Linked DNA regions of Arabidopsis thaliana. The protein of the gene in region 2 interacts with the protein of the main gene of each other region in a pairwise test. Each region holds a gene or a part of one and is shown on either strand. Other genes may lie near its edges.

Region 1 (4,906 bases), 370 kb from region 2:
CACTTCTCTTCTTCTCCATCGCCGCCACATTCTCTTGATCATTCCAGTGAATCGGAGAAGGAAGATGCGAAAAGTAAACCCGAGAGTAGAAGAAACAAGAATCCTGGAAAGGTTGAGGAAACTCCATCTCCGATTGTGGTGGTTCATAATCACAATCGCTCTGTGAAAGAAGTGGTTCCGACGAGAAAGAGTGCGAGAGTTGGTTCTGGGAGAAGTAGTGGCCAACGATCTGGAGCTGTTTCGGCTATTTTGAGAAGGTCTAGGAGAGAAGAGGTGGTAAAGTTTTCAGCTTTAGGGTTTCGGTTGAGTGAGGTTGTGTTGGCTTTGATATCTTTCTCAATTATGGCTGCTGATAAAACTAAAGGTTGGAGTGGTGATTCTTTCGATCGTTACAAGGAGTACAGGTAATTATTTGTTGTGTTTGTGCTTATTTCTTCGCAGATAGTGATGTTTCTTGAATTTAGGTTCAGGGTTTATTTTAGGGTTTAGGGTTTTATCAGTATCACTAGTGTTGGTTTTTTGATAAGAAATTTGGATTACTTTAGTTTTAGTACATGTGAATTGTCTTTAACACTTGCGTGGTCCAAGTCTATGTTTTGGTTGAACTTGGTGAAGTCCTTAAAAGAAGTAAAGTTTGTTCCTTTTGACATTGATTTTGATTTGTTGGATCGTAAGAATTCATTTGCAGTTTCCATTTTGTTGTTTTGGTCAAACATTTGAAGTCAGTTTAGTATGATTTGATTTTTGATTTTGAGACTAAACTGATTTATCTATGTGTCATCTTCTGATATCTGTGACAGGTTTTGCCTGTCTGTGAACGTGGTTGCTTTTGTATATTCTAGTTTTCAAGCATGTGACTTAGCGTACCATCTTGTCAAAGAGAAGCATTTGATCAGCCACCACCTTCGACCTCTGTTTGAGTTCATTATAGATCAGGCAAGTCATTAACACTTATGCTGTACTCTCGATGGTATTCCTTTGTTACTTTCGTTCTTGTATGAAGTATGATCTACGTGGTTGCATCTAGGTGATGAGAAAAACTTGGCTATAGATAATTCCTGATACTTTGACTTGCACCATCTGCTGGTATTTACCCTGTCTCCTGTGAATCAAAGAACAACACTTTGTGGTTAAAGTCCAATATTGTTACTCTTTTTCTTTATGCTTTAGCTTATAGCATATGTGGAAAGGGATTTATCTTATAGGTCGGAAAACATGGTGAAAGTGACTGTTATACTTGTTTGACCAAACTACTCCCTTCATTACATAATTGAAATCTCTTTCGTCCCCTGCAAAACATTTCAAAAGCATGTGTAAAAACAGATGGAATTATGAATAAGAAAGGTTTGTTTTGTTTGTGCAATCAGGTACTTGCATATCTGCTTATGTCTGCCTCAACAGCAGCAGTCACTCGCGTTGATGATTGGGTTTCAAACTGGGGAAAAGACGAGTTCACAGAGATGGCAAGTGCCTCGATTGCTATGTCCTTCCTGGCCTTCCTTGCCTTTGCTTTCAGTTCCCTCATTTCAGGCTATAACCTATTTAACCAAGGCTCTCTCTGATCCTCCCACCTTTTTGTATAGGTCCACACTCCTTGTGTGATGTATAATAAAAATGATCAATATATCTTAGCATTGTAATTATTATACTATTTTTGTAGCCTATATAAAGGTTTCCAAAAACTATGAGGTTAATAAGAGAGGCATATCCTGTTGTCAAAAGGGTCTTTATAGCCAACTAAATAAAGACTCTGACAGAGCAAAAGGCAACAACTTTTCAGCTCTTGAGCCATATGAGTGTCCTCGATTGTAAATGAGACCTCAGACTTATCCATTGTGCATCTTGAACCCTGAAGAAGGAAGAAGAAACCATCTTGCACAAGCCCAATGTTTAAAAATGGAAAAGGGTATTTTAGTCATTTACGTTTTCGACACTCGGACTTCCTAGTTCCTACGCCTGGAGAATATCAATAGCCGCCAAAGGATTGATCGTGCTTTTGCTTCGTATCGTCTCTGGGTTTTTAAATAGAGAGACTCGAGAGACTCTGTTTGACAATAGGGTTTTGAGCTTTCTGAGAGTTTTATATAACTTGACAAAGTTTTGATCTTTCATCACCGATCAATGGTTGGTACGAAGAGAGTTGCTGATTCCATCGACACCAACTCGGATGACACACTCACGAGGAACCGTGAGGTTGAAGTTGAGGCGATGCTCAGTAGGAGAAAGCAACTAAGGACAACAACGACGAGGACAACAACGACGAGGACAACACCATTGAGCTTGTCTTCCTCTGCTTCAAAGATGAACTGGTCTAAAAACGATGAGCTTGTCATTCTCGGGGTTAGTTAGTAAATTCTTTGCAGCTTCTCTATATTCTTCTTTATCCTCTTCTAACTTTTTTTACTCTATTTTGTGTGTGTGTGTAAAAGGGTATTGTGGACTATGAGAATGAAACGAAATTGAGCTATAGATCTGACTGGGATGCCTTGTACCGTTATATCAAAGATTGTGTAGAAGCAAAGTTTTCGAAGATTCAGCTCATCAATAAGGTCAAGAACATGAAGAGAAAGTTTACATACAATCAGGGGAGATCTAACCATGGGGAACAACTTTCTTTTACTAATACTGATGATGATGAAATCTTCAAATTGTCATTGATCATATGGGACAAGAATGAATCAGAGTATGTTTCTAATGAGAATATAGACCAAGCTAAGGTGAGTGTCTTTGTTCTGTTTTTCAACAATCTCTTAGACTACTAATGTGCAATGAATTAATGATCTTGTTTTCTTGATTTGCATAAGGATGTTCCTTCTGGTGAGCCAGAGACTAATGATGTGCCTTGTGAGGAGCAAGACGATAGGGATGTGCCTTGTGAGGAGCAAGAGCGAGCGAATATCGAGATTGATAATGGTGTGAGAGAGAAATTGGACCAAGCCAAGGTGAGTGTGTTAGTTCTGTTTTTTCTACCAATCTCCTTGTTACCATCTTAAAACATGATGTAAAAAATTGTGTTACTAATGATGTGCAATGAATTAATGATCTTGTTTTCTTGTTTTGAATAAGGATGTTCCTTGTGTGGAGCAAGAGAGTGAGGATGTGCCTTGTGTGGAGCAAGAGCGGGTGAGTATAGAGATTGATAATGGTGAGAAAGAGAAATTGGACCAAACCATGGTGAGTGTGTTTGTTCTGTTTCTACCGATCTTCTTATTACCACCTCAAAACATGATTTATTGATCTTGGTTTCTTGTTTTGAGTAAGGATTGTGAGGAGCAAGAGAATACGGATGTGCTTTGTGAGGAGAAAGGCGATAAGGATGTACCTTGTGAGGAGCAAGAGAATAAGGATGTGCCTTGTGAGGAGCAAGAGCGGGTGAGTATCGAGATTGATAATGGTGAGGAAGAGATGAGTAGCGAAGAAGATGGTGTGGATGAGGTAGGTGTTATGGAGGACACACTTGATTCTGGGATATCGTTTCAAGGTTTAGGTAAAAATGGTGTGAAAGACAAGAGTGAAGAAGATGATGTGGTTGAGTTGGGTGTTCTCCAGGAGATATTTAAGGAGGATACATTTTTTCAAAGTTTAGGTAGATATCAACAAAAATTGCTGCTTCAGAATTTGGAAAACGTTGGAGTTGAAAGAAGAAAAGAGCTCATCAACGAATGGAAGGCATTGTTTGTTGATGAGCAGCGATTGTGTGTCAAGAAACTAACTTTCGCCGCAAAGCTTGCAAACTTAGGAGTTTCTCCTTGATTCAATGAAGAAAAATCTCTGCTTTTGGAATGATCTCATTTTTTTTTGGTTGTGTCATATTGATAAGAAAAAACATGATGTATCCACGATCCGTTCTTGTTCTAGAGCCAGGTAACTGAGGTAAGTAACAGTTAGAGCTAACCATAGCAGATTCTCCTTTTTTTAGTGTTGTGTTTGTTTCGACTCTTCCTTTTGGGTTGGGCTTCGATAACGATTGTTCAGGCCCACTAACATTCTTTTCTTATTGTGCGTCTGTCTCTTTCGAGAAAAAGACACAAGCACTTAAAGCCAAGATTCGCATTTTGCCACATGCCACTAATTTCACCTTGTGTTAGATATTATTTTTGTACTACACACTCAACGAAGACCATAGATCAACTCAAAATATTTATTACACAACAATTATCGGAGAAGAGATTGATGTGAAATGTAATGAAGACGAAAAGAAAATAAAAAAAGAAACGACGAATTTGGACGTAATTTTCAGCCAAAACATATGCTTTGGGTCCCACACTTTCACATTTCAACTTTATCATCACACCGAAACACTAAACACCAAAATCCCCGACAAATTTAAAGAAAATTTTTCCATTTTTTTTTTTTACTCTATCTCTGTGAGAGATTCTCTTCAAGCTCAGGCCTTTAGGCTTTAGGTTTCTTTTGGGAGTCTTCTTGAGCTCTGTAATCACTCTCTAGAAGCTTATTTTGCCTCCTAATGTTATTAGGTACGTCTTTGTATCTGTACTTGCTTCTGCATTTTTCGATATTTGTTTCTTTTGATGAGATTTGGGGACTCTTCCTTCAGAAGGATTTGAAGATTTTGACATCTTCCATTAAAAGTTGAATCTTTACTTAAGCTAGTGTTCTTAGCATTCTGTTTATGTTAGCTTCATGAGATCTGGGATCTCGAGGCTGCTTTTTTTTTTTGCTTTGATTTCACATTTAATGGGTTTTGATTACATTTTCATTAGGTGAAGTGAGTTGAACTTGGCTTGTGGTTTTGATGAATTTCTTTCTATTAAAAGTTTTGGTTTCCCTACCAAAAAAATGTCTTCTTTTTGTTAATTAAAGTCTAAAAGTAGCTAATCTCTATCTGTACTTGTGTAGGGTTCATCATTTGAGTCTATAACTATAATGACTTTCACTGTTCATT
Region 2 (4,859 bases):
AAAATCATACCTCATCTACATGGTAAGATAAGACAAACCAAGACACTAAACACTTAAATGGGCTTTGTTTTGTGAATCAAAACATTATTCTGATATTGCAGTGGTTCCCGAAATCTGTTCAAAGTATTCATATGCCGAAGCAGAGAACGATTTTCAAGATACATCACCCAAATATGAAGAAGTCATGGAATGTGGTTTACGTGGTGTCAGGGACGAAATCAAGCTTCTCTGCTGGATGGAAAGGTTTGGCTCAAGAATATCCTCTAGCAGTTGGAGACACTTGCAAGTTTTCATTCATCAAACAACACGAGCTGATTCTCTTTGTCTCAAAACCCTAAGAGGAGACTCACTAGTGAATAGTGATGATGAATGTGAAGGTGTCTACTGAGTAAAAGACTGTTTATCAGTGTTGTCTTAAGTTTTAGTTTTATGTTATGACTTAGTTCGGTTTTAAGTTCAGAATGTCTATCGGATGGATCTATGTAGCTTGATATGATTGGGACCAATTTTAATATGTTGTGTGTTTGTTGTTTCCGTTTGGCTTTACTTTGCTTTCTCTACTGAGGCAGATGTATTACAACTGTTCATCATCAAAAGATTCAGATCTGTATTATAGATTAAGTTCCTGAAAAACATGAACCAATCGAAACAATCAAGTTTCTCAGAAAAATTTGTGTCTCAAACAAGTTTACCTTGGTCCAAATTTCCGTTTTTGGTCTCTCTTCTTCTAAAGCCAAAGACACCAACCAACAAACTATAAGGATTAATAGTGAAGACTATTTGAAATTTTAACTCTTTCAGAGACCTAACATCAAAAGTCTGATATTGATGTTATGTTATAGGAAAGAGATGATTACACATTTGAACGAGCCAAGAGAACTGCTTAGTTATAAATACCAAATGCTGACTTAACTCAAGTCTATGAACAATGTTGGGTTTGAATATGAAAAGCCATGGCTTTTGTTGGGTTTACTTGCATATTTTACAAAGAAAAAGCTTTTTGAGAGTTACTCTTTGCTGGAATCAGCATCAGAGTTCCCATATACAGCAGCAAAGTAGTAGCTTACAGTCTTAGGTGTTAAGCCAGGGAATCTGTGGGAGCTATCCGGTTGCAAATCGATCTTAACGAATGGCCATTGCAAGGCTTGTGCGGCTGCACACTCTTCCCATCCGTCCCCGATCGCACAGAATCTGAATTTTGGGTGGTTGAAACGCTCCTTGATCCATTTGAAACATTGGAGCTTCCCCACATCTATTGAACTGTACACTGAAGAAAGGCAAAAAGAGTTAAATGATGTAGTTAACATAGAAATGCAAATGCATGACGGAGCTCGCAGAGTAGCAACAACTATGTGAATCCGAAGCTAAGATATCCCATTGAAGGAGATGTCTCCGAGCTTACCATTTTCATGTCTTAGGAATGTATCTAGCCGGAAAAGCAGGCATTTCACGAGGCTCGGTATGAGGGCCCCGGAAGTCACTAGAATATGTATATCCTGAGAGCTTTGTTCGATTGCACTTGTTCCATCACTAGACTCTTCCACACATGAACACTGCTCCAAGAAAGCCCTTGCTGCAATTAATACAATGTCATACTAAGCAGTGGACGCGATAAAGAAAATAACCAGAAGAAGCAGACAATTCGACATTTACCCGAAGAAAGCCACCGGTCTGTGTATTCATCAGTCACATTATACAACTCATCCAACCCACTCATCGATTCGCTGTCAATGAATGGACACAAACCCTGCAATTATAAAGAGATGACATTTGTACTTGAGTCATATAACATCAGCAACAAAAAACATGTAAAAACATATCAGTACCTTTTCGTATCTCTCCGCAACAGCTCGATGCCTGTACGCAAGTTTCCTCTTGTTCAAGTCATCAGTAGGAGTACTAAAGTCGTCTTGTTTGAACTCATACCGAGAAAGATCCTTTCCATCATCATACTGTCTCAATGAATCAAGAAATGGCTCATTGCATTCCTCAACCTGCAAAGAACACAAGACTAATGCTTTGTAGGTGACAGAGTTTACGAGGGCATCTCATCATTCCCGTTCTGAACTTATCGTTAAGAGAAGACTTACTTGCTCGTAGAAGAAAAAATCGTCACAGATCTTAAGTATGTGTTTCTCCCACATCCTCCCAATCTCTACACCTCTTTTAACATCTTTGGAGCCATTAAAAGACTCAGCATAAGTTCCATTTAACAGAGATCTAAGTAAGATAAGAGTCTCGTCCATGTCCCATACATATACATTCACTGGTCCATCATCAGAAACCAAAGTTCCCAGCTTTTTTGATGTATCATTATTCATAATCTGCCCTCTTCCCTGAATATAACAAGTTAAAACCAGAGATCACATCTTACATCAATCGACAAAAGGATTCAGTAGGAGCAACAAAATTGAGAATCGATGAGAACTCATTCACGGCATCTACATTGGCTACTAATTCAATGATGAAACAATCAGGAGCATGTGGATTGAATTGAGTTTCATGGCGGAAACAAAAGCGATAAAACTCCCAAAAAGAGCAAACTTTTCAGCAAACCCATGACTAATTTCACTAAACAAAACCTACGAAATTACGATTAACGATTCTAGGTGAATTTAATTTAACAAAAATGAGAACTTTCAGATCAAACGAGGATTGATAACAGATAACACAAAGTTCAAAACCTAAAAAACAATACCTGCGCTGCCGATTCCGATAGGAGGATGACCAAAGATAGAGAGCTCCGGAGCTAAGTGACGACGATGCGTGTGTTTCAAAGATCACAGACGAAAGTAAACAGCGAGCCACGCGGCGTCGTTTAGTATAATTTAGCTCTCGGCCCAATTAAAGGCCCATTATGTTCAACAGTCACACACACCACCAGAAACTGAAGAAAGCTTGTTTTTTTTCTCTTGCATGACCCTTCGCTTCTCTTCTCCTCTCTTCTCTACCGAAGTTTGATTCTTCTCAGCTGAGAAATACAACTGCCGATCAGTAAGTACTTCTAAACTCGTATCTATAATCTGTAAGATTGATTAATCATTTTGCCATCAATTAAAACCCATTTCTCCTGATCCTGCTTTGGTTTTTGTGTTTCATTTGTGGGGATTCAATGATCTTCACTCTTTCAATCTCTGTGGAATTTTTCTTTTCCTTCAGATTCTCATATATACATAGACGTGCTTTAACTCTGATGGGTTGTACTGTGAGGGAGAAGCATGTTAGACCAAACCGGAAGACCAGATCCGTGAAACCCGAATTCGATCCGTGTTGTTTGCTCGACAGGACGGCTCTATCGAAATCGATTGTTGAATCGAGTCTTAAGCATCTTGTTTATCATCCGGGTCTTCTCGATTCGTGTCCAGAGTCAAACCCTAGTGGCAGTTTTGAGGATAATAATGGTTGGGGTTATTGTACGGAGGAGCAATTAGAGGATATTTTGTTGAAACATTTGGAGTATTTATACAATGAAGCGATTTCGAAGCTTGTGGGTTCTGGTTATGATGAGGATGTGGCGTTGAGAGCTGTTCTTAGTAATGGGTATTGTTATGGTGGAATGGATGTTATGACTAATATTCTTCATAATTCGTTGGCTTATCTTAAGAGTAATACTGGTGAAGGTAGTAATGTGAACAATGAGGATCAATCAGAGACGGTTTTTACGGATTTGAGACAGTTGGAGGAGTATTCACTTGCGGGTATGGTTTATTTGTTGCAACAAGTTAAACCTAATTTGAGTAAAGGTGATGCAATGTGGTGTTTGCTAATGAGTGAGCTTCATGTTGGGAGGGCGAGTACTATGGATATACCGAGTTCTGGAAAAGGGGATAGTAGTAATGTAGGGGTTGGTGGTGCTAGTAGTACTGTAAATGGGGTTGGTGGTGCTATTGCTCCGGCATTGTGTAGATTCCATGGAGGTTGGGGTTTTGGTAATGGGAAAGGACCCAAGTTTTCTGGTAATGGGTTTTCTTTGCACAGTGAAGAGTTAACGTTGCAGAGAGAGATTGATTGTCCAAGGAGATTTAATCTCTCACCTTCGATGAAGTCTTTGTTGAGAGAGAATGTTGCAGCCTTTGCTGCTGGGTATCGTGCTAGTATGGAGCAAAAGAAGCAGGTGCAAATGCAGTCTGAAACTAGTGGTACTAGCTTGTCTTGCACGGCTGCTGCTACACATTCAGAGAAGTGTGAGCAGCCACATGTCTTCGGAAGTGAAGAATGTTTCAGTTCAGTGCTGGAGAAATTCCGGGATCTGAACCTTGATGACAATGTTGATTCGGCACCTGAGGAGCTGAAGGATGATGCTTTAATAGGACTACTTCAGCAGGTTCAGGATCTCAAAAAGCAATTGAAGGAGAGGAAAGACTGGGCTCAGAAGAAGGCAATGCAAGCTGCCCAAAAGGTCAGCGATGAACTGTCCGAGCTTAAATCGTTGAGGAGTGAGAGAGAGGAAATTCAGCGGGTGAAAAAGGGGAAACAAACTCGTGAGGACTCAACCTTGAAAAAATTATCAGAGATGGAAAATGCTCTTAGAAAAGCTAGCGGTCAAGTTGACAAGGCAAATGCGGTAGTAAGGGCACTTGAGAACGAAAGTGCAGAAATCCGGGCGGAAATGGAAGCTTCCAAATTAAGTGCATCAGAATCGCTCACGGCATGCATGGAGGCCTCGAAGAAAGAGAAAAAATGCTTAAAGAAACTACTGGCGTGGGAGAAGCAGAAAATGAAGTTGCAGGACGAGATTACAGCTGAGAAAGAGAAGATTAAGGCACTCAATAGAGCTTTAGCTCAGATCACTCAGGAAGAAAAAGAATATGAGGTACCAAGTAATGCATTATCTTCGTTTACACACCGAGATTTTTCTG

What was found.
Region 1: the proteins of EYA (region 2) and AT2G36340 interact in binary tests that used the Arabidopsis thaliana proteins (3 or more experiments, as listed by UniProt).

The regions. Positions count from the first base shown.
Region 1 is NC_003071.7:15,233,737-15,238,642, forward strand, and holds AT2G36340 (DNA-binding storekeeper protein-related transcriptional regulator), read left to right. Parts: upstream 1-1,750; 5' UTR 1,751-2,121; coding exon 2,122-2,340; intron 2,341-2,429; coding exon 2,430-2,717; intron 2,718-2,804; coding exon 2,805-2,942; intron 2,943-3,066; coding exon 3,067-3,174; intron 3,175-3,261; coding exon 3,262-3,753; 3' UTR 3,754-4,168; downstream 4,169-4,906. Other genes in the region: AT2G36330 (Uncharacterized protein family (UPF0497)), read left to right, coding at 1-404, 801-936, 1,368-1,562. UniProt on the Arabidopsis thaliana protein: Probable transcription factor. Involved in stress responses. Plays a repressive role in cell expansion by counteracting the positive role of CPR5 in this process, but does not regulate cell proliferation or endoreduplication.
Region 2 is NC_003071.7:14,866,067-14,870,925, forward strand, and holds EYA (eyes absent-like protein), read right to left. Parts: upstream 2,816-4,859; 5' UTR 2,699-2,815; intron 2,337-2,698; 5' UTR 2,322-2,336; coding exon 2,091-2,321; intron 1,995-2,090; coding exon 1,827-1,994; intron 1,748-1,826; coding exon 1,654-1,747; intron 1,574-1,653; coding exon 1,403-1,573; intron 1,268-1,402; coding exon 1,008-1,267; 3' UTR 766-1,007; downstream 1-765. Other genes in the region: AT2G35310 (Transcriptional factor B3 family protein), read left to right, coding at 1-22, 102-338; AT2G35330 (RING/U-box superfamily protein), read left to right, coding at 3,113-4,813. UniProt on the Arabidopsis thaliana protein: Possesses phosphatase activity toward para-nitrophenyl phosphate (pNPP) in vitro. Possesses phosphatase activity toward several phosphotyrosine-containing peptides in vitro, with low peptide substrate specificity.